Linked DNA regions of Sus scrofa. Each later gene encodes a partner of the first gene's protein in a complex. Links are inferred from orthologs where the notes say so. Each region holds a gene or a part of one and is shown on either strand. Other genes may lie near its edges.

What was found. Proteins that work in one complex are often made in the same cells at the same time.
Region 2: PRPF4 (region 1) and LSM7 share a complex: the UniProt entries of both Homo sapiens proteins name them as parts of the precatalytic spliceosome. The link is inferred for Sus scrofa from reciprocal best matches to the Homo sapiens genes PRPF4 and LSM7.
Region 3: PRPF4 (region 1) and LSM3 share a complex: the UniProt entries of both Homo sapiens proteins name them as parts of the precatalytic spliceosome. The link is inferred for Sus scrofa from reciprocal best matches to the Homo sapiens genes PRPF4 and LSM3.

Annotation. Positions count from the first base shown.
Region 1 is NC_010443.5:253,902,966-253,910,783, reverse strand, and holds the start of PRPF4 (U4/U6 small nuclear ribonucleoprotein Prp4), read right to left. Parts: upstream 4,527-7,818; 5' UTR 4,321-4,526; coding exon of another isoform or gene 4,130-4,320; 5' UTR 3,990-4,129; coding exon 3,963-3,989; intron 3,191-3,962; coding exon 3,013-3,190; intron 1,072-3,012; coding exon 885-1,071; intron 1-884. Other genes in the region: anaphase-promoting complex subunit CDC26, read left to right, coding at 4,130-4,320. UniProt on the Homo sapiens protein: Plays a role in pre-mRNA splicing as component of the U4/U6-U5 tri-snRNP complex that is involved in spliceosome assembly, and as component of the precatalytic spliceosome (spliceosome B complex).
Region 2 is NC_010444.4:76,244,369-76,252,210, reverse strand, and holds LSM7 (U6 snRNA-associated Sm-like protein LSm7), read right to left. Parts: upstream 5,187-7,842; coding exon 5,040-5,186; intron 4,948-5,039; coding exon 4,857-4,947; intron 2,126-4,856; coding exon 2,054-2,125; intron 659-2,053; coding exon 516-658; 3' UTR 387-515; downstream 1-386. Other genes in the region: SPPL2B (signal peptide peptidase-like 2B), read left to right, coding at 5,185-5,244. UniProt on the Homo sapiens protein: Plays a role in pre-mRNA splicing as component of the U4/U6-U5 tri-snRNP complex that is involved in spliceosome assembly, and as component of the precatalytic spliceosome (spliceosome B complex).
Region 3 is NC_010455.5:70,343,495-70,351,185, reverse strand, and holds the start of LSM3 (U6 snRNA-associated Sm-like protein LSm3), read left to right. Parts: upstream 1-2,505; 5' UTR 2,506-2,562; coding exon 2,563-2,583; intron 2,584-4,643; coding exon 4,644-4,754; intron 4,755-5,868; coding exon 5,869-5,964; intron 5,965-7,691. Other genes in the region: XPC (DNA repair protein complementing XP-C cells), read right to left, coding at 1,711-1,854, 2,148-2,250. UniProt on the Homo sapiens protein: Plays a role in pre-mRNA splicing as component of the U4/U6-U5 tri-snRNP complex that is involved in spliceosome assembly, and as component of the precatalytic spliceosome (spliceosome B complex).

The DNA of each region.
Region 1 (7,818 bases):
AAAGGAGCATCATCTGAGGACAGGGCCTCTTTTCAATAACATCTGAAAACACTTGTCATTATGTTCTATGTTAATGACAAAGAATGTGTTTGTCGTTTGAATTTTCAGAGTTCGGTGACAAATGTTTACCCAACTCACAACTCCACACCGAGGAAAGGAAGGGAGGGAACATGTCAACATCCTCTTCACAGTTTATAAAGAAAAATTAGTAGTGGAGTAAAAACTGGACTAAGACTCAGATTAACGGCGTCCCAGTTGTGGCGCAGTGGAAATGAATCTGACAATCCCTGGCCTTGCTCAGTGGGTGGGGGGGATCCAGCATTGCTGGGAGCTGTGGATAGGTTAGACACGGCTTGGATCCCATGTTGCTGTGGCTGTGGCGGAGGCTGGAAGCTGCAGCTCTGATTCAACCCTTAGCTGGGGAACCTCCATATGCCACAGGTGCAGCCCTAATAAAAAGCAAAAAAGAAAAAGACTCAGATTCAGGACTAAACCATATTAATACATAATACTTAATAAGATATTCTGTCAACAATATCTGAGATATTCTATAAAAGTTTTAGATATGAATAGTAGTTTTAGCTGACTAAAATTTGGAACTAGAACCCCATGATTAAAACAGAAAGACCAGGGAGTTCTCTTGTGGTGTGGCAGGTTAAGGTTCTGGATTGACACTGCAGTGGTGCGGATTCAATCCCTGGCCCAAGAACTTCCACATGCAGTGGGAATGGCTAAAAAATAAGTTAAAAAAAAAAAGTAAGTAAAAGTAAACTTATCTAAATATCTTGCCAACATATATTCAATTATATTAAAATTAAATTAATACATTAAATAAAAAACCAAATTTAAAAAAAAAAGGAAAGAGTAAAATTCAGAAAGGGCACCTTTCTCTTCTTTCAGCAGGACCCTCTCCAAAAAGCGTGATGGGTTCCCCCAGGGCTCTAAGGCAAGCCTTGACCTCTGAGTCATCTGTAGAAACATTGATTTGCCGGGCTCGCTTCCTTCTCTCAAATTCAGCTAACACTTCGGCCTGTCGCTCACTGATGTGCTCTTCAATTTCAAACACTTCTCCTATAAAAAGAACAGGCAGCATCAGCATAATCACCAGATCTTCAAGTAGGGAGAAAGAATTTCTTACAATTGGAGTATATCTCTAAGGAAAGTTAATTGTCCTATCTACTTCACACTTAACAGTTTATGGATTCTTGGTTTATTAAAGTATGCCAATCATAGAAAAATAATCAGGATTTAAAAGACAGGAAAATGGTTGAAGCCATACTGTTTCATCTGGCAACCTTAACACTTATATAAACATACAATTGACATGAGACAATGAGAGTACAGAGTCCCTTTAACAAGTTAACTGGGCTTTCTATCCACAGTAAAACAGAAACACTATTTTAACAACTGCTAGAGCTACTCTCTAAACTAGTCTTAGTAGGAGTTTCCATTGTGGCAACACCAGATCCCCTAACCCACTGTGCCAGGCCAGGGATCGAACCCGCACCTCTGCAGCAACTGGAGGCACTGCAGTTGGATTCTTAACCCACTTTGCCACAGAGGGAACTCTGACTATAAGGCTTTTTGGATAATCCAGCAGCCCAGATACAAGCATTTGGATGAAAAATGAGAAGTATAGTAGTGATGCTGTTATGTTTAAAACAACATAAAAAGTTAAAAAAGTCACCAGAGCACATGTGTACAGAAAAAGAAAATGTGTGGGAGTATTAATAGAAATGACAGAATCCTATCTGCAGAGGTCTTTCTACACCTTTCAGTACGATTTGAATTTCTTATGACAAATATGAATAATTTTATTTTAAAAACAGTGGACCACTAGTTACTGACATCAAAAGATATCCTCAACAGTAAACAGAATGACAAATGCAGGTTACGAAATAATTTATCATGATTTCATTTATAGAAAAAAATCTTGTATTTCTGTAGCTTTATTAAATTCTTGGAATAATATAGACCTAATTAATAAGGATTATAGGCTTTTCTACCTCACACATTTCTAACTAATCTCTTTCAAAATAAAAACAGCTATTGCTTTTAATTGAAAGAGATATTTCATTTTGGGTGAAAAATAATTGGAAAACTGAACAAGTTAGAATATTATGAACCAGGGTAGTTCCAAACCAATGCCAGAACTATCCTAGATATCCATAAGATAAGTGGAATCAATCTGAATCCAAACACACACTGAATAAATTCCCAGTAAAATTATTAACAATTCAGGGAAGAAAACCTGTATAAAAGGTTTTAAGAAAAAAGGTTCTGGGAGTTCCCGTCGTGGCGCAGTGGTTAACGAATCTGACTAGGAATCATGAGGTTGCAGGTTCGATCCCTGGCCTTGCTTAGTGGGTTAATGATCCGGCGTTGCTGTGAGCTGTGGTGTAGGTTGCAGACGCAGCTTGGATCCCGAGTTGCTGTGGCTCTGGCATAGGCTGGCGGCTACGGCTCCGATTAGACCCCTAGCCTGGGAACCTCCCATATGCCGTGGGAGTGGCCCAAGAAATGGCAAAAAAGACAAAAAAAAAAAAGTTAAAAGAAAAAAGGCTCTGGGGTAATGTTAAATGGGTAGGCAGAAAGTATGGCCTTCGAAAGATGCAAATTTTTGTTTGTTTTTTTGTTTTTTTGCTTTGTTAGGGCCGCACTTGGGGCATTTGAAAGTTCCCAGGCCAGGGGTCAAACTGGAGCTGCAGCTGCCAGCCTACAACACAGTCACAGGCTCTTGGGATCTGAACCACGTCTGAGACCTACACCACAGCTCAAAGTAACAGTGGATCCTTTAATCCACATTTGAATGAGGTCAGGGATCCAACCTGCATCCTCTTGGATACAAGTTGGGTTCGTGTAACCCGGGAGCCACAATAGGAACACCAATAGATGCAAGTTTAATATGCGAAGTTTTCTGACACTATACTTGTGATATCTACGTTTAGGAAAGTAAATATTACAGAAATTTTGAGCACCCAAAGTAGAGATGGACTACAGTTTGCATCTTACCAGAGGTTATGTTAATATTCCCTGCTTCAATTCCTGCTTTAAGTCCTTCTTTTCCCAAAATCCCAGACTCTCCTTTGGCCAGCCGTTCCCTCTCCTTTTCTTCCAAACTTCCATAATAGATGTGTGGTTTCTTCACAACAGGAGCGACTAAGTCATCAGGTGCCTTAGTTTTGGTTGCCTGTTAAATCAAAGACCTGGATGAACCTAAAGCTTAATCTCAGCAATTTGCTAGCTTCCCAGAGGATGAAGCTTATCCAGAGCTTCAATCCTATTCCCTCCCCCAAAAAAGACAAGTTGGACACCAATTAAGATGTATCTTCCCTGATGGAGTGGGGCAGGGGGGAGTGTTCCAGTCTCTCAGTCACTTTAAGTTTTGCAGATAGGAAGAGATAGATAAAACTAGTGAATTTCTCTTGTGATTTTTCTATCAATGGTTTGCTTTGGAACATGTTTACTTCATTTGGTTGGAGGTGCAATCTCTTCTTGGGTTTTATGAAACTTTCAGGGCCACTGCTCATCACAGGAGATATCAAGAATAACTGAAATAACCAACGCCATGATAAAGGGGAACAAGTTATAAAGTTACCGGTCTATACAATTCAAACGTTTTCAGACGCGAGGTAGTAGATATGAAGTTAGGAGGCCTCATTATAATCAAGACTGACACTGTCGTAAATCTTGGCCAAAACCCTACTCCCTTTCAGAGCTCCGTTTCTGAACGAGACGGAAGAGGTATTTACATTTTAGGGTTGTTGTAGTAAGAGATGAAAATGACCTAAAACACACTCCGGTCACTCAAAGAAAAACGCTGCTCAGCTCTCTAAGACCAGACCGAGTCTGGCAGCCTTCCTCCTCAGTCCTCCACCGCCCGTTCCCTAACGGCTCTGTTCTGCACGGACCCCCCACCCCTCCGCCCTCCCTGCCCTGCCAGAGTGAGCCGAGATCCGTACCGTGGAGGAGGCTCGCGAGGAAGCCATGCTGGGCTCCGAGGCCGCGAAGCTTCAGCAAGAGGCGAGCCCTACGTTCCAGACCATCCACCGCGCGCCTAACAAAGCGGAATTACGTCCAGACCGGAAGTGGGCCGAGGGCCGAAGCCGCGTCCTGGGCGCCGTAGAGCATGATGGGAATCGTAGTAGGAAAGGCTCTGGGTGCGTTGAGCGTTGTGACACGTACAGCCTCTAAAAAGAGCACGCGGAGGACGAGGTTCTGCGAGGAGAGAGACTCAGAGCAACCTGGGAGGTGTAGTGCAGTTGACATAGCAGAAGATTCGGGGTGGGCGCTGAGGTTCCGGGAAAGGGCTGAAAAGAGGTAGGTGCTTCAAGTCGCGCGCCTCCGGACTGAACTCCGGGAGTGAAACGGCACCTTCCGGGGTCTGCTGCCGCTCCCGGCCCTGCGAAGAGCTTTAAGTCCTCCTAGAGTGGTGGACCATGTTGCCATGGAAACCTTTGCCCCGGACCCAGGAGTGCGGTCCTGTAGCCGCGAAAGGAGTGTGCTTTCCTCCGCTGTCGGGAAGTTCTCTCGGCAGCTTCTTTTGAGCTGGGTGGATTTTCGGTGCATTTGGGCAGTGGCGAAAGAATAAGCTCGAAGAGCCCTCTAGCGCCAGAGTAAAATAAAGAGCCAGCGGAGGAGCCATGGCCTGTGTTTGGTCTATATTACTCGGAGTGAGATGAAGAATGTCAGGCGTCAGGTAAACTGCGCGCAAGCAGCTCTGCACAGCCCTGTGTTGCCCTGGGTGTTGGGGCACCAGAGATCGACAAGACAAGGTTTTTGCTCCCGTATCGGGGGTGGAGATTTTTCAAAATTTATTGTTGTTTCCCGAGCTGGACAGAGCCTCCTACCCTCTCCAAGGGCAGTTACAATAATAATGGCTACATATTTGAGCGTTTACTAAATGCCAAGTTACGTACGTTACAGGCACTTATCTGCATCACGTCATTCAATCCATACAACACCTGAGTACAGATACAAGGGAAGAAGCTAAGATCTAGTGAAAGGCGAAGCTAATTGTCCAAAATCAGTGGCAACAGAATTTGAGTCTCTGCCCTTTGCCTCCAAAGCAAGCACTTTTACCCATTACACTATACTTCTTCATAGTGGTGAGCTTTTTACAGCTTGCGGGAAAGTTAGAATGTATCACAGTTGTTTTTTTCTTTTAAGCATTCTCTTGGAACTTTGGCTTCCTCTTGCCTTTGTCTACGTTGGAATCAAGATCCTATTTGATTTGGGAGTTCCTGTCGTGGCGCAGCAGAAACGAATCCGACTAGGAACCAGAGGTTGTGGGTTTGATCCCTGGCCTTGCTCAGTTGGATCCGGAGCTTAAGGATCCGGCATTAGGGTGAGCTGTGGTGTAGGTCGCAGACGCGGCTCGGATCTGGCATTGCTGTGGCCCTGGCGTAGGCCGGCAGCCACAGCTCTGATTAGACCCCTAGCCTGGGAATTTCCATATGCTGTGGGAGCGCCCTAAAAGGACAAAAAAAAAAAAAAAAAAAAATCGTATTTGATTTAGTACCAAAAAATTTGAAATGTAATGTGTCAGTGTTTTGTGTTGATAATATCATTTGTCTCAGTCCCAGGCTTCATGGGAGGAGGGGAAATTTTATCTTTTGTATACTTCACAGTCCCTAGCTACATCCTAGAAACATGTAATAATCATTTATGTTTGTACATACTTTTTTTTTGCTTTTTAGGGCCGCACCTGCGGCATATGGAGGTTCCCAGGCTAGGGGTCTAATCAGAGCTACAGCTGCCGGCCTGTACCACAGCTCACCACAACACCGGATCCTCAACCCTCTGAGTGAGGCCAGGGATGGAACCCTTAACCTCATGGTTCCCAGATAGATTCATTTCCACTGCGCCACGATGGGAACTGTACATACCTCATTTTATTTATTTATTTATTTTGTCTTTTGTCTTTATTGGGCTGCAGCAGTGGCATGTAGAGCCGAGTCTGCAATCTATACCACAGATCACAGCAATGCTGGATCCTCAACCCACTGAGTGGGGCCAGGGATCGAACCTGAAACCTCATGGTTCCTAGTTGGATTTGTTTCCGCTGCACCATGAGGGGAACTCCAGAACTATACATACTTTAAAGGAGGTTTCACTTACCTCATTCTCACTTTTTTTGTGTGGTCTTTTTTAGGGCCACACCTGAGGTATATGGAAGTTCCTAGACTAGGAGCCAAACTGGAGCTATAGCTGCCGGCCTACACCAAAACCATAGCAACACAGGATCCAAGCCCTGTCTGCAACCTATACCACAGCTCACGGCAATGCTGGATCCTTAACCCACTGAGCAAGGCCAGGGATCAAACCTGCATCCTCGTGGATACTAGTGGGATTCTTAACCTGATAAGTCTCAGCTAGAACTCCAAGGCTGAGACATTTGTTAATCAACTGAATAGCTTCAACTTTATCTGTAAAATAGGGTAATTTTGCCAGTGTCATAGTATTTCTGTGTTAAAAATGAGAATGTACAAGAAAAGCATAGCATGGTGCTCGAGAAAAGTTCATTTCACTTTTTGAATTTGAATATCTAAATTTATTCAGCAAAACATATACTGATTGGTTATTATAGACATTCTCTACAGGATGCTGTTGGGAATATAAAGATGATGCCATTGGAGTTTCCTTCGCGGCTCAGCGGTTAACAAATCTAACTAGGATCCATGAGGATGCGGGTTCCATCCCTGGCCTTGCTCAGTGGGTTAAGGATCCGGGGTTGCCATGAGTTGGGGTGTAGGTCGAAAATTCGGCTCAGATCCTGTGTTGCTGTGGCTGTGGTGTAGGCTAGAGGCTATAGCTCCGATTTGACCTCTGGCCTGGGAACCTCCATATGCTGCAGGTGCAGCCCTAAAAAGAAAAAAAAAATGATGCCCTCAACAGCTTTTAAACTCAGTTTAGGAGTTTCCTTCTAAAGAAAATCTTTTTTTTTGAGTTCCCGTCATGGCGCAGTGGTTAATAAATCCAACTAGGAACCATGAGGTTGCAGGTTCGATCCCTGGCCTTGCCAAGTGGGTTGGGGATCTGGCATTGCCGTGAGCTGTGGTGTAGGTTGCGGAAGAGGCTTGGATCCTGAGTTGCTGTGGCTGTGGTGTGGGCTGGCAGCTGCGGCTCTGATTCAACCCCTAGCCTGGGAACCTCCATATGCTGCAGGAGCGGCCCAAGAAATGGCAAAAGTCAAAAATAAAGAAAAGAAGAAAACCTTTTTTTTTTTTTTTTTTTTTAAGCATACAAATTACTTTGGATTTTCATATTCTAGGGTGTTCCCTTGGCCTCTGTGCATACTTGTTCTCTCTGCCTCGGATGCCCTTAAGCCCCTTTCTCTGCCTGCCCTTCACACATCAACTAAGACATCATCTCTACCAGGAAGTCTTGCACATCCCTCTTCACCCCACTGGACTGAGTGCTTATGTGATACCATTGCGTTACCCTCCTCAGCGTTCTTATTACACTGTATTGAAATTTTCTCTTTGTTTGTTTTTTCCACAGACTGTGGCTATGCCTTTTAACTGTGTAGCTGGAGTACAAGAAGTGTTTGTTTAATGAATGACCTATCCATTTAGCACCTACTTAGACCCTAAGGATAACCCTGTGAATTGGTGAGTTAGAGGGAGTTTTCCTAAGATTTAGTAAACTGATTTTAGTATTTGCAAGTGATCACAAATCCCTCACAATTTGCACATAATATTAATCAAATTTAATGGCTTGTGTATATTCCTATTAACTACACTGAATTAAGATGTGATATTTAATTTTACTCTCTTAGCTAGAGTATTTGCTTGTGAACAGAGCATGAGATTGAAA
Region 2 (7,842 bases), on another chromosome or scaffold:
GGCAACAGCAAGACTCCATCTGGTTTGTTTTTCCCAAGGTCATGGCTGTAAGCAGTAACAAACTGGTTTTGGTTCTGGCCCACTTGCGCTGGTGTACAGAGGCAATGAAGGGACAAAGAAGCAGGGACCAGTCACTGGGACATGCCCACTGAGAAGGCTCGCCTGGGGGGTCTGCATGGGCTATGGCCCCCAGGGGTTCTAAAGGCCTACTCATCTCCTGCACCCCTGCCCCCCGCCCCACCCAGATGGCACACTCAGTCACCTCCGAGCTCCCCCAGTCCTGGACATGAACCATGCCCTGCGCTCAACTCTGCTGGACAAACTGAATCCTCAGGACGGGCTTCTGCCAGGACACTGTGGCTAAAAGCGAGACTGTGGAGCTCGGGGATACTTGAGGTTTGCAATTTTATTAAGAAAACAAAAACATAACCTATACAAAAAGTAAAGTTCTGTCCCTGCAGATGGCCCGTCACGGGGGAGGGCAGCCCGAGTCCTTGGGCATGGCATGCTGCCTGCTACGCGTCCTGCTGCTGGATGAAGGGGTTGGGGATGGCCTCCATGCCGTCCTGCGGGCAGATGAGCACCACGGAGGTGCCCCGGCACACCACCAGGCCCAGCTGCCGGGTGTCCTCTGTGAGCTTGTACTGGTCGTCCGGGTCTGTGAAGAAAGAGGTGGTGGAGTCTCAGAGGCCCAGGTGTGGAGATGTGCCTGGGGAACTGCGGCAGGGGTGGGCTGGGGGAGCGTGCTGGCCGGCGGGTGGGTGGGCGGGAGCAAGTGCCCAGGACGCGCTCTGGAAACTGGCACATGCAGCCTACCCTCCTTCCACAACGAGAACACCACCTGGGGGACCGCATCCTCGGATGGGCTATGGAATCAAAAGCCATCTCTAAAATCTCAGAAACCCTAGAGGGCCACCATTCACCCTCGTGCCAATGGGCTGTTCACAGTGAGGCAAGGGACCCCAGGGAAGTGGTGACAGTGAGAGTCCTCCTGAGGTCACAACAGTTAAGCCTCCCTTACTGTTAGCCCAAGACAGTGGGGTGGGGGGGAAACCGAGTAGGGGTGAGGCCCCCCCCACGACCAGACCCTACAGAAGGACAGCTGTCCAGGCCCACCCCTCCTCTCCCTTCTTGGAACTGAGGAGACGGGGTAGGGTCTCTGCCCCAGGGCTGTTCTGGGGTGAGGAAGGGGCACATACTCTGCTGACAAGCAGCCAGGGCCCCAGTGGGAGCAGGCTCTGAGGCAGGAACAACAGGCATACTGTAGGGCATGCCCTAGTTCACTAGGTTCCCAACACAGAGGGCATCCTTTTCCAGAAAGTCATTCGCCCAAGGAAGCCAGGCCAGGATCCCAGTGGGGGACTCTGGGCAGACCCAGTGGGAAAGAAAATGAGGGCAAGGCAGGAGGCCCCACAGAATCGCTTCTCCCACAAGGAGGGCCTCTCTCCCTGGTGGCCTTGTGACCCTGCTGTGTGGCTGCAATCACTCTTCACCAGAGTAACTCGGGTCTCAACGTCCACAGTCCCTGGAGGAGCAAGACACTGCTTTTCTTCTCGGCCCTGACGTCCCCTTCACGCCTCTGTCAGGAGCTGCAGAAGTTGCTGGCTGAGGGGCAGGGACTGGCCTGACCACAGGTGGGGAGAGTCTGGGGACTTGGGGAGAAAGGGACTGGGGGCAGAGAATGGGGGGACCCTCTGTCAGCAGCAGGGAGTTACTGCACAGGGACAGCAGGAGGTAATGGGTCTGAAGGAACCCCAGGGCAGCTGGGTCTCTCATGGGGCCGTGGCATCTTTCTGGCCAGACCAGGCACACTCCAAACCCACTGGTGCTCAGGGTCAGTGATGAGCGGATCAGCAAATACTCCGCACCTCTGAAGGCTCAAGATGATGGGCTACTGGGCCTCGCCAGGACCGTGAGAGATCAAACACATCTGTCAGCCGTCTGATCCACAAGGCACAACATTCATGGTTAGCACTTGGGTGGCAGCTGAGTGACTTTGGAACAGTAAGGAAAGCCTGGCAAGGACGCTTGGAGCCCCGCCAGCTGCACTCACCTCTCATGTATTCGATGGTGCCATCCAGCACGAGGTTGAGGAGTGGGTCAAACCCTTTCAGGATTCCACTGGCTTGTCAGAATCACCGAGAAAAGAAGAGAGACAGAGAGATGGAAGATCAGTGGTCATCCTGGGGCAGGTTTGAACTGCATCCAGGTGTCGGCAGGATGGGGGTGCCCCACCGGCAAGGGGTCACCCTGCAACCAGATGCAGATGTGGGAGCAGCTGCTCTGGAGACAGGGGACCAAGGAGAAAGCGAGGGAAGGGCTCCCAGAAGGGGAGCAGTGTCAGCTGACCCCAAACCACCCCCACCAGAACAGTCAGCGAAACCTTGTGCCTGTTTTGTAAACAGTTTAACTGGCTCACAGCCATGTTCATTTGCTAAATGTCGCCTGTGGCTGCTTTCCTGCTGCAATGGCAGTTGAGTGGTTTCAAAAGAGACAGTCTGGCCTGCAGAGCTGAAAATATTCCATGTCCGGTCTTCTATAGAAAATGTCTGTCGGCCCCACCTGAGTTTGAAGCCCTGTCATTGCGTCCTTTTCCTGCTTGACCCTCCCCTACGGAACAAAGACTGTGATAGAACCTACTTCATGGGGTTATGGAGAGTGGACAATGCATTCGGGCACTTGGCCTGGGGGCCGGGAGCCCACACCTGTGGGTCTGCCCCCCTCAAGGGGACGGGTGCACTGTGGCAGGCGGGCAGGATTCTGAGACAGAACCGGCATTCCCTCACCCCGAGAACACGCCTGGGAACCCCCTCCCCTCAGTGTGGAACAGGAGCAACGATGGGACATCACTCTGTGGTCATGTGACAGAGACAGAAGGCTTCGCAGCTGTAATTAAGGTTCAAGAGTCGGCTGACTTTCAGTGAACCTAAAGGGAGGCTATGCTGGGTAGGCCCAACCTGAAAGGTGAGCTACTAAAGGAATGGGCACTTTCTGGACAAAAGAGATTTTCCTGCTGGCTTTGAAGAAGCAAACTGCTAGGCGATGGACAGAGCCCATGGCAAGGGCAGCAGGCAGCCTCCAAGAGCCAAAAGGGTCTCTGGCCCACTTTAGCCAGAATACGGGGACCTGAGTCCAACAACCAGTGGGCAGGCAGGAGGAACTGGGTCTCAGATGACAAGCTCCCAGAGACACTCTTTTATGGCCACCTTGTCAGCGACCTGAGGCACCCAGAGTATAGAAACCACGCACACTGTTGAGATAAAAACGTGTGTTGTTTAAGCAGCTAACTGGTGGCCGTTTGCTCCGCAGCGTTGCAAACATAAGCACCCCGAGACGAGACCTATCTCCTATGTTTCAGAGCTAGGATGGTACTAGCATGTTCAAATCCTCACTGTGCCAGGTACCTCGACTGGCAGGCACTGACTGTGCTTTTAGCCATTCTGATGCTACTCAACTGTCCACAGCTCAGGGAAGGAGGGATCTGGAGCACTGTTTAAGAAACTGAAGATCAGAGGAAGCTGAATAAGTGAAATGTTGACCTTGAATTATCTGTCAGGGACTTCCTATCGTGGCTGAGTGGTTAGCAAATCTGACTAGGAACCATGAGGTTGCAGGTTTGATCCCTGGCCTTGCTCAGTGGGTTAAGGATCTGGTGTTGCCGTGAGCTGTGGTGTAGGTCGCAGACACGGCTCGGATCCCGAGTTGCTGTGGTTCTGGCATAAGCGGCGGCTACAGCTCCGATTAGACACCTAGCCTGGGAACCTCCATCGGGAACCCTGTTAACACTTTACCTGCCTTGAACTCTTTAATCCCCACTGCTGAGGTGGGCGGAGTCAATAATAGCCTCTGACAAAGGAAGAGACTGAGGCTCAGAAAAGATAGTGCCTTGCCCAAAGTTCCACAGCAGCTGAGTGGACAAGAGGGCTCTGCCATGGACGGCACTGCCCGCATGACCCTGCAGTCTCCTTACCAGATTCCAGTAGGAGACGCAGAGTTAAAGCCTCACAATAACAGCAGAAAGCTGCAAACTGTGTGACAGGTACTAGTAGAAGCTCATAACAAAGAGGCCTGACCTGGGCTGGGGAGTCAGGGAAAGCTTCCCAGAGCAATGGTATTGAGCTGCCAGTGGGGAAATGACCAAGTTAACTTGGTAGCCAGTTAACCTGGTAAAGGTGCTCAAGACAGAGAAAACAAGTATCTTTACAGCCCTGTGGCGGTTGAGAACTCCCAGCATTACTCTGGAGCAAAAGGTTCCTCCTTTACCCTGGAACAACCGTGAACAAGGAGATGGGATTTCTTTATAACAGATCCCTCTGGTGGCTTCATAAAAATTGACCATAGGGCCATGGTTCTCAACCGGGTCAGTTCTGTCCCCCAAGGGACAGTGGGCCATGTCTGGGAGGTCTGTGGTCGTCACGAATGGGGGGCTCCTGGCATCAAGTGGGTGGGAATCAGAGATGCTGTTTCACACTCTACAACGCCCAGGACAAACCTCCACAGAGAACACTGCTGCCCCAATGTCAGCAGTGCCGAGCCTGAGAAACCCTGGTGCAGGAGCACGGTGAGGAGCTGGGGCAGCCACCTGGGTGAGAAAGAACCACAGCAGGCAGAGCAGTGAATCCCAGCCACTGGGTTTTGGGTTAGTTTGGGGCCTTTTCCCGTGCCTCAGTTTCCCCACCTGCAACAGGGCCGTAATCGTTCCTACCTCCCGGCGCCTTTTGCAAGCCGGCACGAGTTCTCCGAACTAAACGATTAAAGCGCCGCCCAGGTATTCGTCATCAGTACCGCTGCCCGTTACCCCGTGTGGACCTTAAGAGGGGGAGAGTGGGGGGGGGAGGCAGGGGGCGGGGCCTCACCTTCGCGGCCTCCCTGGAACTTCACCCGAATAGTCTTGTCGATGTACTTGGACAGGTCCAAGATGCTTTCCTTCTTTTTCTTCTCTTTGTCCTGCGAGGAAAGCACATTGCGTGAGGGGGGAAGCGCGGCCAGATTCTGCCCCGCCAGCCCCTCCAGCCAAGCCAGCCGCGCCGCACGCTCACCGCCATCTTGCCGCCGCCGCCGCGCCGCGCCCTTTGGCCTCTGCCCCCTGCACATGCGCGGCGGACGCCTGGCGCCTGCGCAGCGCGGGGCGCCAAGGCGTTGCTGGGAAACATCTGCCGACGCCTGCGGCGGGGACCGGGCGACATGGCGGCGGTGGCATCGCTGGCTCGGCTCGCGGCGGCCTTCGTTCTCCTCGCAGCCCAGGTGAGGGCGGCGCCGACCCTGGCGGCCTCGCCATCCGCGGTGCCATTACTCCTTGGCCCCCCGACCCCGCATAGGGGTCCGCTCGGCCTGGCCTGGGGGTCAACCTAGGGTGTCCGTGCCCCCTACGCGGTCGGCCCGCGGGCTCGGGGCCGGCAGTGACCTTGCCGGACTGTCCCCGGCGCGTCTGCCTTCCCTGCCTGGAAGCCCTTCCCAGCCGCAGCGTCACCAGGCCCCGCCGGAGTCTTAAGGGGGGGTTCCCCCTCTCCTGCCCCGAGCCCCGCTTGTCCACCCCGGGGTCTCCAACCGCCGCCAGAGACGCCCCTCTAGCTTCGTGACTTTGGTCTGGGAGCTACCCCTCTCCGAGCCTCAGTTTCTCCTTGAGTGCGACGCTATCTGCCTCGACCGTGGTTGTGGTAAACTGTCCAGCGCGGCACCCAGGGTCTGGCGGTGTTGGGACGCAGCCGGGAGCCCAGCCCCGAAGTGGGGTCGAATCGCCGCCGCATCTTTTGCTCGCATGACCTTGGCAAGGGAGTTCCCCGCTTTGAGTATCAGTTCCTTGTCTGCAAAAGGAAGATAAGTGTACAGTATAGAGTCAGCGAGATGATATATGGGATCATGAACGCGCAGCATGCTACTTCTCTGTCATTTAACGTTAAGGGTCTCCAGGTGCTAGTGGGGGGAACTACCACGAGGTGGCTGATATACATTGTCATAAGTGCATCTTTTATTACCAAATCCTCCCCCTCTCTCAGGTTCCACAGCTTAGGCAGTGGTGGCCCCCAACAGCTCCCAAAACTGGGTCATTAGCCTGCTCCAGCCCCTCCACCTCTGCTCCAGGCAGATGGCTTTCCTCTGTGGCCACTTTTGTTCTCTGCACCCCCGGTTCATTCTCAACACTGCAGGAGCGATCTTTCTCAAAGTGTGTCATGTCTTGTGCCCAGAGGAGAGCCTTCTGGCAGCTTCCTGGTGCATTCGTGAAGCCCCTGTGATCTGGCTGTCAGGAAGCTTCCCCTTTCCAGCTCTAGTGTATTGAAGGCTCCCTGCACTTCTCTCTTTCGCCCAGGGTCACAGAATGGTAGGGAGTGGGTTTAGGGCTGTGAGCAAGCAGCCTCCTGTCAGTGGAGAGCTGGTCTTCCTCTTGAGCGCCATGAAGAACCAGGCCCAGGGAGGGTTCTGTATGTAGGGTTGTGTATGAATTGCCTGGTCATACACTTAGCCTCAGCTTCATTGCCCCTCCCTCTCAGGCTCTCTGGGACGCCCCCCTAGCTGCTTTGCCAGCCCCCTGTACTTCCCTGAGCCCTGTTCACTCATTTTCCTCAGCTGTCTCAGCAACTCGAGGCAGGGACCTTGAGCTGTCTGGGTATTCCAAAGGAGTGCAAAGCTAGAAGCAGGGGGAGGGTCATGGAAACACCACAGAATGAGGGATGCAATTGGCCTGGGAATGCTTTTCAGGAGCAGCGGTGCCTGCAGGGTGTTCTGAAGGACGAGTAGGAGTTTGCTAGGTCAGGAGAGCAGATGGAGGGTGTTGCAGGTGATGTGAGCAGGGCCAGGCAGAAGCGTGAGAGCTTTATTTGGGGAAGCTGTGGCTCCGCTCTAACTGGTGTATTTTCAGTACAGTGGTTCCACCTGAGAATGGTGTCATCCCAGTGGAGGCTCAGGTGCACTGGCAGGGAGGCCAGGGAGGGAACGTCAGGGGAGTGGCTCCAGGCCGAGGGTAAAGGGCAGATGGAGCCTGTGGCCCTCCCAGGCTGGGGTCCAGGGAGTGGGCTGGACAGGTCAGAGCTGCATGCTGGAGGCCCACGTGATGAGGTGTTTGGACTTTATTCTCAGCTGACTGAACTTCATCCTGAGTGTGGGGAGCCAAGAAGAGTGTTGGAGAGAGGGAGGAGCTCTTGGGCCATTGCTTTCCGGAACAGAACCCTCCCTGGGCCTGGTTCTTCATGGCGCTCAAGAGGAAGACCAGCTTTCCACTGACAGGAGGCTGCTTGCTCACAGCCCTAAACCCACTCCCTACCATTCTGTGACCCTGGGCGAGGGGTTGCACCTCCTCAACTAGACAAACACACACTCCCCAGTTACTATAAGGCATGTACATAAAGGCCTATGTGGGGCCTGTTACTAAGCAGATCTGACCCAACATTGGTGCTGTCTCTGCCCCTGCCATTGCCCCACTCCACCTGGCCCTTTACCCATACACTTTCCCCCTAACCTGCCCCTTCTCCCCTCCACTGCCCGCCTCCGCCTGCCCCTTCCCCCTAACCCTTTCCACTTGCCCCTTAACCCTCTCCCACTTTCCTTCACCTGAACATCTTTCTCTAAGCATCCCAGGACCTAATTTTCCCCTCCTAGAACCCACCAAGTCTTAGGAAGGCTGCGCCCAACCTGGACCCTTGAGCTTCTCCCAAAGCCCTCTGACGTGGATGCTTTCACCATCATCATGAAGCATAATTTCCCTAGAGGCTCCTGAACTCACTTTATGATTGTGATGTGTTGGGAAGTGGCCTGTCTTCCATAGTCCCAGCTGTTCTTGGTTTTCCAAACTGGGATGGGCCACACTGGAAGGCAGGGTACTCACATCCCGGTGCCCTTTTGAAGAAC
Region 3 (7,691 bases), on another chromosome or scaffold:
GAAACTTATGCTAGCTGCACTGGCTCATAATTTTCGTGAGGCTTAAGTAATCCCCTACCTATGTTCAGGCTGAGTTGATATGAGCTGGCCCATCTGATTACCTCACACAGACCATGCCAGGAGATTCACATGCTCTCAGGAAAAACTCACCACCACCCCACAAGTCAAACATGAGGTTCAGAGAGATGAAATTAATTTGCCCAAGCTAATTTATGCAAGCCCATATAACTATTAAGCACTGGCACTATGCCAAGCTGGTGACAAGGTGAAGTGTTTAGATGGGGGAATGCTACTCAGGCAGGTGGCATTTCCAAACCTCTTCAATTAGAAAAAATTTTTGAAATTGCCATGTATTCCAAATACATTCCCTGATTAGAATGACAAGCTCCTTTACCAGCTGTTTACTAAAGTAGTACCTATCCCTAAAGCTGCAGGTTAAACATTCATTTCCCAGCTCTCCTAATTACTCCTTCACCAGCCACAAAGCCTCCTACCATCTTCCATGATACCACTGTCCTGGATAAATTTTTTTGTAAATGTCAACACTACCATACCCTAAGCTCCTCCAAGAAAGCTCTAAGTCCCATGTCTCCCAGTTTGTGTGCAGCACACGTTAGGTACTGACACATTAGGAATGTTTATTTTATGACTAAGTGAATAAAACGGAACTCACAGTATTAATTGTGAGATGAATCACTTTTTAAGTTTATAAATGGTTACTGTTTTACTATTTCCTAATGGACGATGGCCTTATAATATGTACAGAATCACAGAATTATTGAATCTAGTGTCACAGGAGACCTTGCTGGTGACTTAGTTTAACTGTCTACCCAGTTATATCAGGAACCCCAGAAATCCCTTCTACAGCATACATGTATTATGCAATGACAAACTATTTATCAAGCATTTGGTATATGCAGGGAAGGGGAAAAGAACAAGATAAGAAAATTAAGATGTTTTTATAACTTTCAATTCTGGTAAGAGAGAGCAAACAGGAAGCAAATAAATTAACAAGGTCATTACAGATGTGACAGAAGCTGTGATAAGGTGCACCTGAAAAGACCATCTTAGGACATTCAAGGAATACCTGGATTGAGACCAGGAGGAAGAGAAGTCAGCTACAGCAAAGCCATGGAAAAATATTCTAGGCAGAGGCTCAGGTGAGGAATCACATGGTGTGTGTGAGGAGGCCAAGAAGGAAGGTACCTGGCAAAGAAGACTAGGAAGAGACAACAGGAGAGGCAGCAGCAGCCAGATCATACAGGGTCTTGTAGGCCAAGGTGAGGAATCTGGAGGCTGTTATGCCAATGGGAAGACACAGAGAGTCTGAAGTGGGAGCATGGCAAAATCAGATTTTTTTTTTTTAAGGTACTTTGCGCTGCAGCACAGAAAACTCCTCCAGGGGGATGAAAAGAAGTAGGGAGACCCGTAGAGAGGCAACTGCAGTCGTTCAACTGAAAAGTGATGGTGGTTTCGACAGGGTATGTGGCCATGGAAACAGAGAAGTGGAGAGATTTGAGATATGGTTTTGAGGTTAAACTGATAGGATTTGCTTTCTGAAGGACTGGATGTGTGTTGGAGGGAAAAGGAGTTTGTTTTAACAAGTGATGAAGGGGTCAAAGACTGATATGGGGTAAAAGTAAGAAAGGGATAGGTTTAAAGGGGAAATCAAGTGTTTTGCTTTGCGCATGACAAATATAAGCAGCCTACTCGATATGCACGTTGTCAGGTGGGATCCAAATCTGGGACTCTCCACACACCACAGCACTCTAAGTCTTGGTCCCTTCGTCTCGTGGCGACACAACATAATAGCAGTACCTTTCACATATTCAGCCCCCTGCTTCCGCCTGCATCCTGGGGGCGAAAAGGAGCAGAAAGAGGCTACGCAGAGGAACTCGCGGTCGGCTGGGCTCTAGCGGAACGTCTCAGGGCGCATCACCTCTGGCCAGGAGAGCAAAGGCGCAGGGCCGCCGGGGAGCACCTGGGCACGTGCACACCCCCAGCCTCCCTAGGCCTCCGGAACACCGCCCCCAGCGCAGGTGGGAGGGAGGATGCCTCGCTCACACCTCCAGGAAGCCGGCCTCCTGCTACCCCCACCCAAACCTCTTCCACCCTCCCTACCAACCCCAACTCAGCCTGGCTCATACCCGCCTCCTTCTCCTCGCGCCGGGCTTTGCCCTCGCCCTTGGCCTTCTGGCCGCGCAGTTTGCGCCCCCGCGGCGCCCTGCCCGCCGAGCGCTTTGGAGCCATCTCTGCCCGGGCAAGACTCGCCTAGAGCGTGACGCACCGCGTCTCCGCGGGACGCAGCTCGCGCGCGGCCCCGCCCCCAGGCGGTGCAGGGCCTGGTCACGCCCCCTCCGGTAGATTCCCGCCTGCGCCCAGGCTGAAGCTCCGCCCCAGCCTCAAAGGGACCAATGCAAGCTGCAGGAAGCAAGAAGCTGTAAAACCAACCTCTTTCTACTTCCAGTGCATAGAGTCCTCACGTTTCCGGAGACTGGGGTGGGCATAGGGAGCAGCTCTCGTGCCCTCGCGAGAGGACGGAAAGGGCGCAGGGTTTGAAACATGGCGGACGACGTGGACCAGGTGAGTATCTTCTGAAGAGTTCGCTCTGGGGCGGCTTCTCCCTGTCCAGGCCAGGGTGTGCCCAGCTTTGTTTACCAGGGTTGTTTTCCCCAAGCTCAGGGTTGCTTTTCCCAAACTCACGAGAAAGTGGCCTGTCACGCCGCCTCTTTCTGGGTCATCACGGCCTTAACCTGCCTCTTGGTTAACCGCGCCCCCTCCGAATTTTGCCTCAGGCCCTGAGACCTTTGTTGTTCAAAACCCTCCTGAAAATTAGTTATTCCTCACTCTTCTCACTTCCTTTCTCTTGAGTCTCACGTTGATTTGTAGAATGAGAACCATTATCCTTGCCTGCCTCACGGAGCTCTCGGGATTCTGATAGAAAGGCTAATAAAACATTTAGTGGGTTATTGTCATTACTGAGCGCAACAATGATTACAGGGTCTACAAACACTAGTGAGTATCACCTTTGTATAGTTAGAAACCTTTCTAAATACCAGGGACATCGGCATTGACTTGGGAGATACCTGCCCAACTTGGGGCTTATATTCGAGGGAGCACAGATAACAAGTAAACATAAATATGCGAAACATATGGAAACTGTGATGTGGTAGGCAGGAGACAGGGAGCTGGTATTTAGAATAACTGATGGTCCTTCAGGCTTTCTCACCTGCTGTCCCGTCTTCTCCAAATGCTCTTCTTCAGATGTTTTTGTGGATTAGGCCGCAGCTTCAGCTGTTTACTGAAATCTCACCTCATATCAAAGAATAGGTCTCTGGCCACCTGCATAAAATGCACTCTCCCAGTCTGCCTTATTTTTCCTCATAGCATGTTCTTTGTTCATATTGAGTATATGGTTCCTTGTTTAATGTCTGTCTCCCCCAGCTAGAATGTGAGTCCCTTGAGAGCAAGAGTCTTGTTTTGTTCACTATTCTGGGTTTAGAACAGTGCTGGAAACACTCAACAAATATTCATTGAGTGAATTAATTGGATGGTCTGGGAGGCCTTTTGAAAAGGCAGTACTTAAAGCTACAGGATAAAAAGGATGGACAGTGGGAGGTAGGTCTCTGTCATGTATATATTCTTACAGTATTATGATTACTTACTTATATGCCTTTCTCCACTAGAATGAACTCCTTGAGGGTAGGGACTGACTCCTGTATCACTGATCTAGTAACTGGCTAGCTGGTCTTTAACAAACATCTGTTGATCTGGAGATGGAAGCAGTTGAGGTCAGGATTTCCTTTCTCTTTTTTGCATCTAGCCCTTTAAGGCTATAGAGACTGTAACATTCAGTCACCTTCCTCCAATGACCCTATGTAATCCCCGAAGCAGCTCTCCTTAAATAATCTTATCAACTCACCCTTCCCTTCAACCATCCCTTCCACATGGACCCCAGTCATCCTAGCCATCTTCATGAAGGGAAGATTGTGGCTTCCTCATTTTGTAAACAAGGAAACAGAATTAGAGATGGTTTTTAAACCCAGTTCATGAATGTCAAAGTCAGGGGTTGAACCCACACTGCCTGACTCCAAAGCCAGTGCTTTCAACCAGTATTTTTCTATACTGCCTGCTAAATATAATCATCTTACTGGCCAGATGGCACCCTAAACTCAGCCTCTCCTGCACTGCACTCATAATCTTTCCTCAAACATTCATCTCCACTTAGTATGTGGTAGTCATTGTGTATGTTCTTCCAATTGCTAAATGATAACATGAAAGAAAGATGAAGACCCTGAGACAGTAACTCCCTATACCCTGAAATGGGGTCAGACAGTTTGGATTTTGAGAGAAGAGAGTGCAGTCATGATTATTTTGTTGTACAGCTCCTTTCTGTGTAGGTATGTTTCAGCCCTCATTTATCCAGCACTTAATATACGCTAGGCACTGTTCTAAGCCTTCATATATGTATTTTAAGCCTCACAACAGTAGTATTAGGTAGGCATTCCTGTTACACACATTTTAAAAATTAGTAGACTGAGGCATAGAGGGGTTAACTAACTTGCTCACAGTCACACAGGGCACTGCTGGTTCAGAAACTTCACTCTCTAGAACTGTATTACTAAGCCTGTTTCTTTTATCAGCAACAAACTACCAACACTGTAGAAGAGCCCCTGGATCTCATCAGACTCAGCCTGGATGAGCGAATCTATGTGAAAATGAGAAATGACAGAGAGCTTCGAGGCAGGTTACATGTGAGTAAATTTATTAAATCACCTTGAAATTAGATTATTTCCTCAATGTTGCTCCCTAACCCCACCCCTTGGAAATGTAAAAACTGTCCACTGTGAAAGAGTGTTTTGAATAGATGAGGAGGTGGAAAGTCACCTGTATTTCTAAACACCAAATGAACTGTACTTTATTCATATGTTTAACACATTTTTCTCTTAATGGAAATATGTCTACTAGAGAACATTTTCATTTCTTTCATTTTTTCCTTTCTGTTTATTTGTAAATAAGATTTATTTGTCCTCCATTCTTATTTAAATGTTCTTTAAATTACTGACATGCATATAAATTTGCGTTTTCTTGTGAAAAATTTTACACAGGAATACGTAGAGTAAAAGGTGAAATCCTATTTCTTCTATTGGGTCTATAGTCTTTCAGATCTTTTCTGTATATTTACACAGAACAGATATACATGAATATGTGTCTATATGTATATATTTACACTGTATACACCCTCTCTAAAAAATGAATGGGATCATGCTATACTTTTGAGTTCTGAATGTCTGAGTTGCAGTACTTGTTGATCGAGCCCACATGTGCCAAACAGCTAGTTCTGGCGAGGCTGCAGTGTTGCTTACTTTCCTTTGCAGTGTTTAGGGCAGGGAGGGTTGAATGACAGTGTCTTGTGCCTTTAGGAGATTTCGGTGCCATCATCTCAGCAGTTAAACAGAGAATTTTATTTCCTTTGTGGTATATTTCTTGTCACTCTGTTATAGGTGGAATTGAAAGAAATGTACTGAAAAGTGATGAACTAACTTTTTTCAAAATGAAATTCCATGACATATTTATGTGACTGCCTTAGATAACAAATAGGGTGGACACTTTAAAAGTAACTTCAAGATATTTTGAGTGAATTCATTTTTGACCATAAACAGTTTTATATTTGCATCAAATCAGTTATCATTGGAAATGATCTTCAAAGAAACATTGTATTGTAGCACAGCAGGATTATATGCATTATAAGTTTGTGCTTTAAGTACTATGTGTTACTCGTAATTGAGCCATTTGTGTATTGTAGGCCCTGTTCATTATCTCCTAATTTGCTTATTAAATTTTTGGTCCCTTGCCGTCCCACTTCAGGCGTATGATCAGCACTTAAATATGATATTGGGAGATGTGGAAGAAACTGTGACAACTATAGAAATTGATGAAGAAACATATGAAGAGATATATAAAGTAAGTCATGCACTTCTATTCATGGCTTTTTAAATGTCAATTGTTCTCAGAAGCCAAAAGCTTAACACCCGTTAAGCTGTTGTGTTTTGATGCCTATTCATGGACTCAGTATAGTCATTAAGAGCAAAGGTTTTGGGGTCCAACAGATCTGGTTTCCTGTGCTGGCTCAGTCACTTTCTATTTGGGGTACATTGGGCGGGGGGGTGGGTACCTTTGCAGACTTCACTTCCTCATTGGTAAGCAGGAGTACTATGGTTTCTCTCATGGGGTTGCCAGGATTTGGTGAGATGTGCTGTGTAAGACACCTTTCCTAGTACATAATGGTAGTACTGGACAGTGTGGTTTTGTTTGATGTGGATTTGACCTATCAATACTTAACTAAAAACTAAAACTGAGAAATTTAAAAAATATTAATGAACTCCTTAAAAATATTGTTGACATAAGTAACATTTTTATGAATGATAACTTTTTTAAAATAAAATATTTAGGGAGAAGTGTTTTTGTTTTACATTTGCAAATCTCTTTAATGCTTGGCTTAATAGTTGACATCTGGGGAGTTCCCGTCGTGACACAGTGGTTAATGAATCCGACTAGGAACCATGAGTTTGTGGGTTCAATCCCTGCCCTTGCTCAGTGGGTTAAGGATCTGGTGTTGCCGTGAGCTGTGGTGTAGATCACAGATGTGGCTCGGATCCCATGTTGCTGTGGCTGTGGCATAGGCCAATGGCTACAGCTCCGATTAGACCCCTAGCCGGGGAACCTCCATATGCTGCAGGAGCGGCCCTAGAAAAGGCAGAAAGACCAAAAAAAAAAATAGTTGACATCTGGGAACTCAGATCTTTTTTTCTGCATTTAATCTGTTGTGATATGTTATGACTGAAGAAATGCTAACCCCACACAGACAGATAGTTGGAAAAGGGAGGAGTATTTTGTGTAGATACCTGTCTTTGATGCTACAGCCAAACTAAGTGAGTGGTAGTTTCTTAAAGGTAAGGTGTGGTGTGGAATCTGAGACTGTATAAGTGAACTTTTCATACTCTTTTTACATATAATTGGTCCACCTTGCACTTGGAATGGGTCTTTTACATATGCATGATTTTATAAGATCAAGCTCTGGTCATTTAGAAAATACTAGTTCACTGAATTATGCAGATCTTTCAAATACTGGAACATGTTATTATTCAGTATAAAAAATAAAACCACATTTGTTCATTCTTTGCTGTATTGGGAAGTTAGTCTGACCCTTCTAGGGCATTGTGGTCTAAAATGTAAACTCAGGTGGCAGGACTGCCTGGATTCACAGCTTGACCCCATTGTCCACCAGCTGTATAGTTATACCAGTTACCCACCTTGTCTGTGACTAAGTTTCCATGTCTGTGAGATGGGGCTGGTAATAAGACCGTCTTTATACAGTGCTTGAGGATTCATTGAAACGTTGCTTGAAAAGCCTTCAGATGGCAACAGACACATACTAAGTGTTCAGATGTAGCCTTTGTTCACGTTTGTAGCTATGCTTTGTTCTGGCTTTCCTCTTCTTTTCAGCCACTCTTGACTACTTAGCTATTTTTTTTTCTCGTTCTGAACATGAGATTTTTTTTTCTTTTTTTATGTTTTTTTTTCTCCTCAGATGTGACTTAGTAACTACTGTTTGTTATGAGCCATTAGTCTGTAATAATAATCAGTACAGCTAAAAGCTTGAGGTCTGGGTTAACAGTTCAAATCCTGGC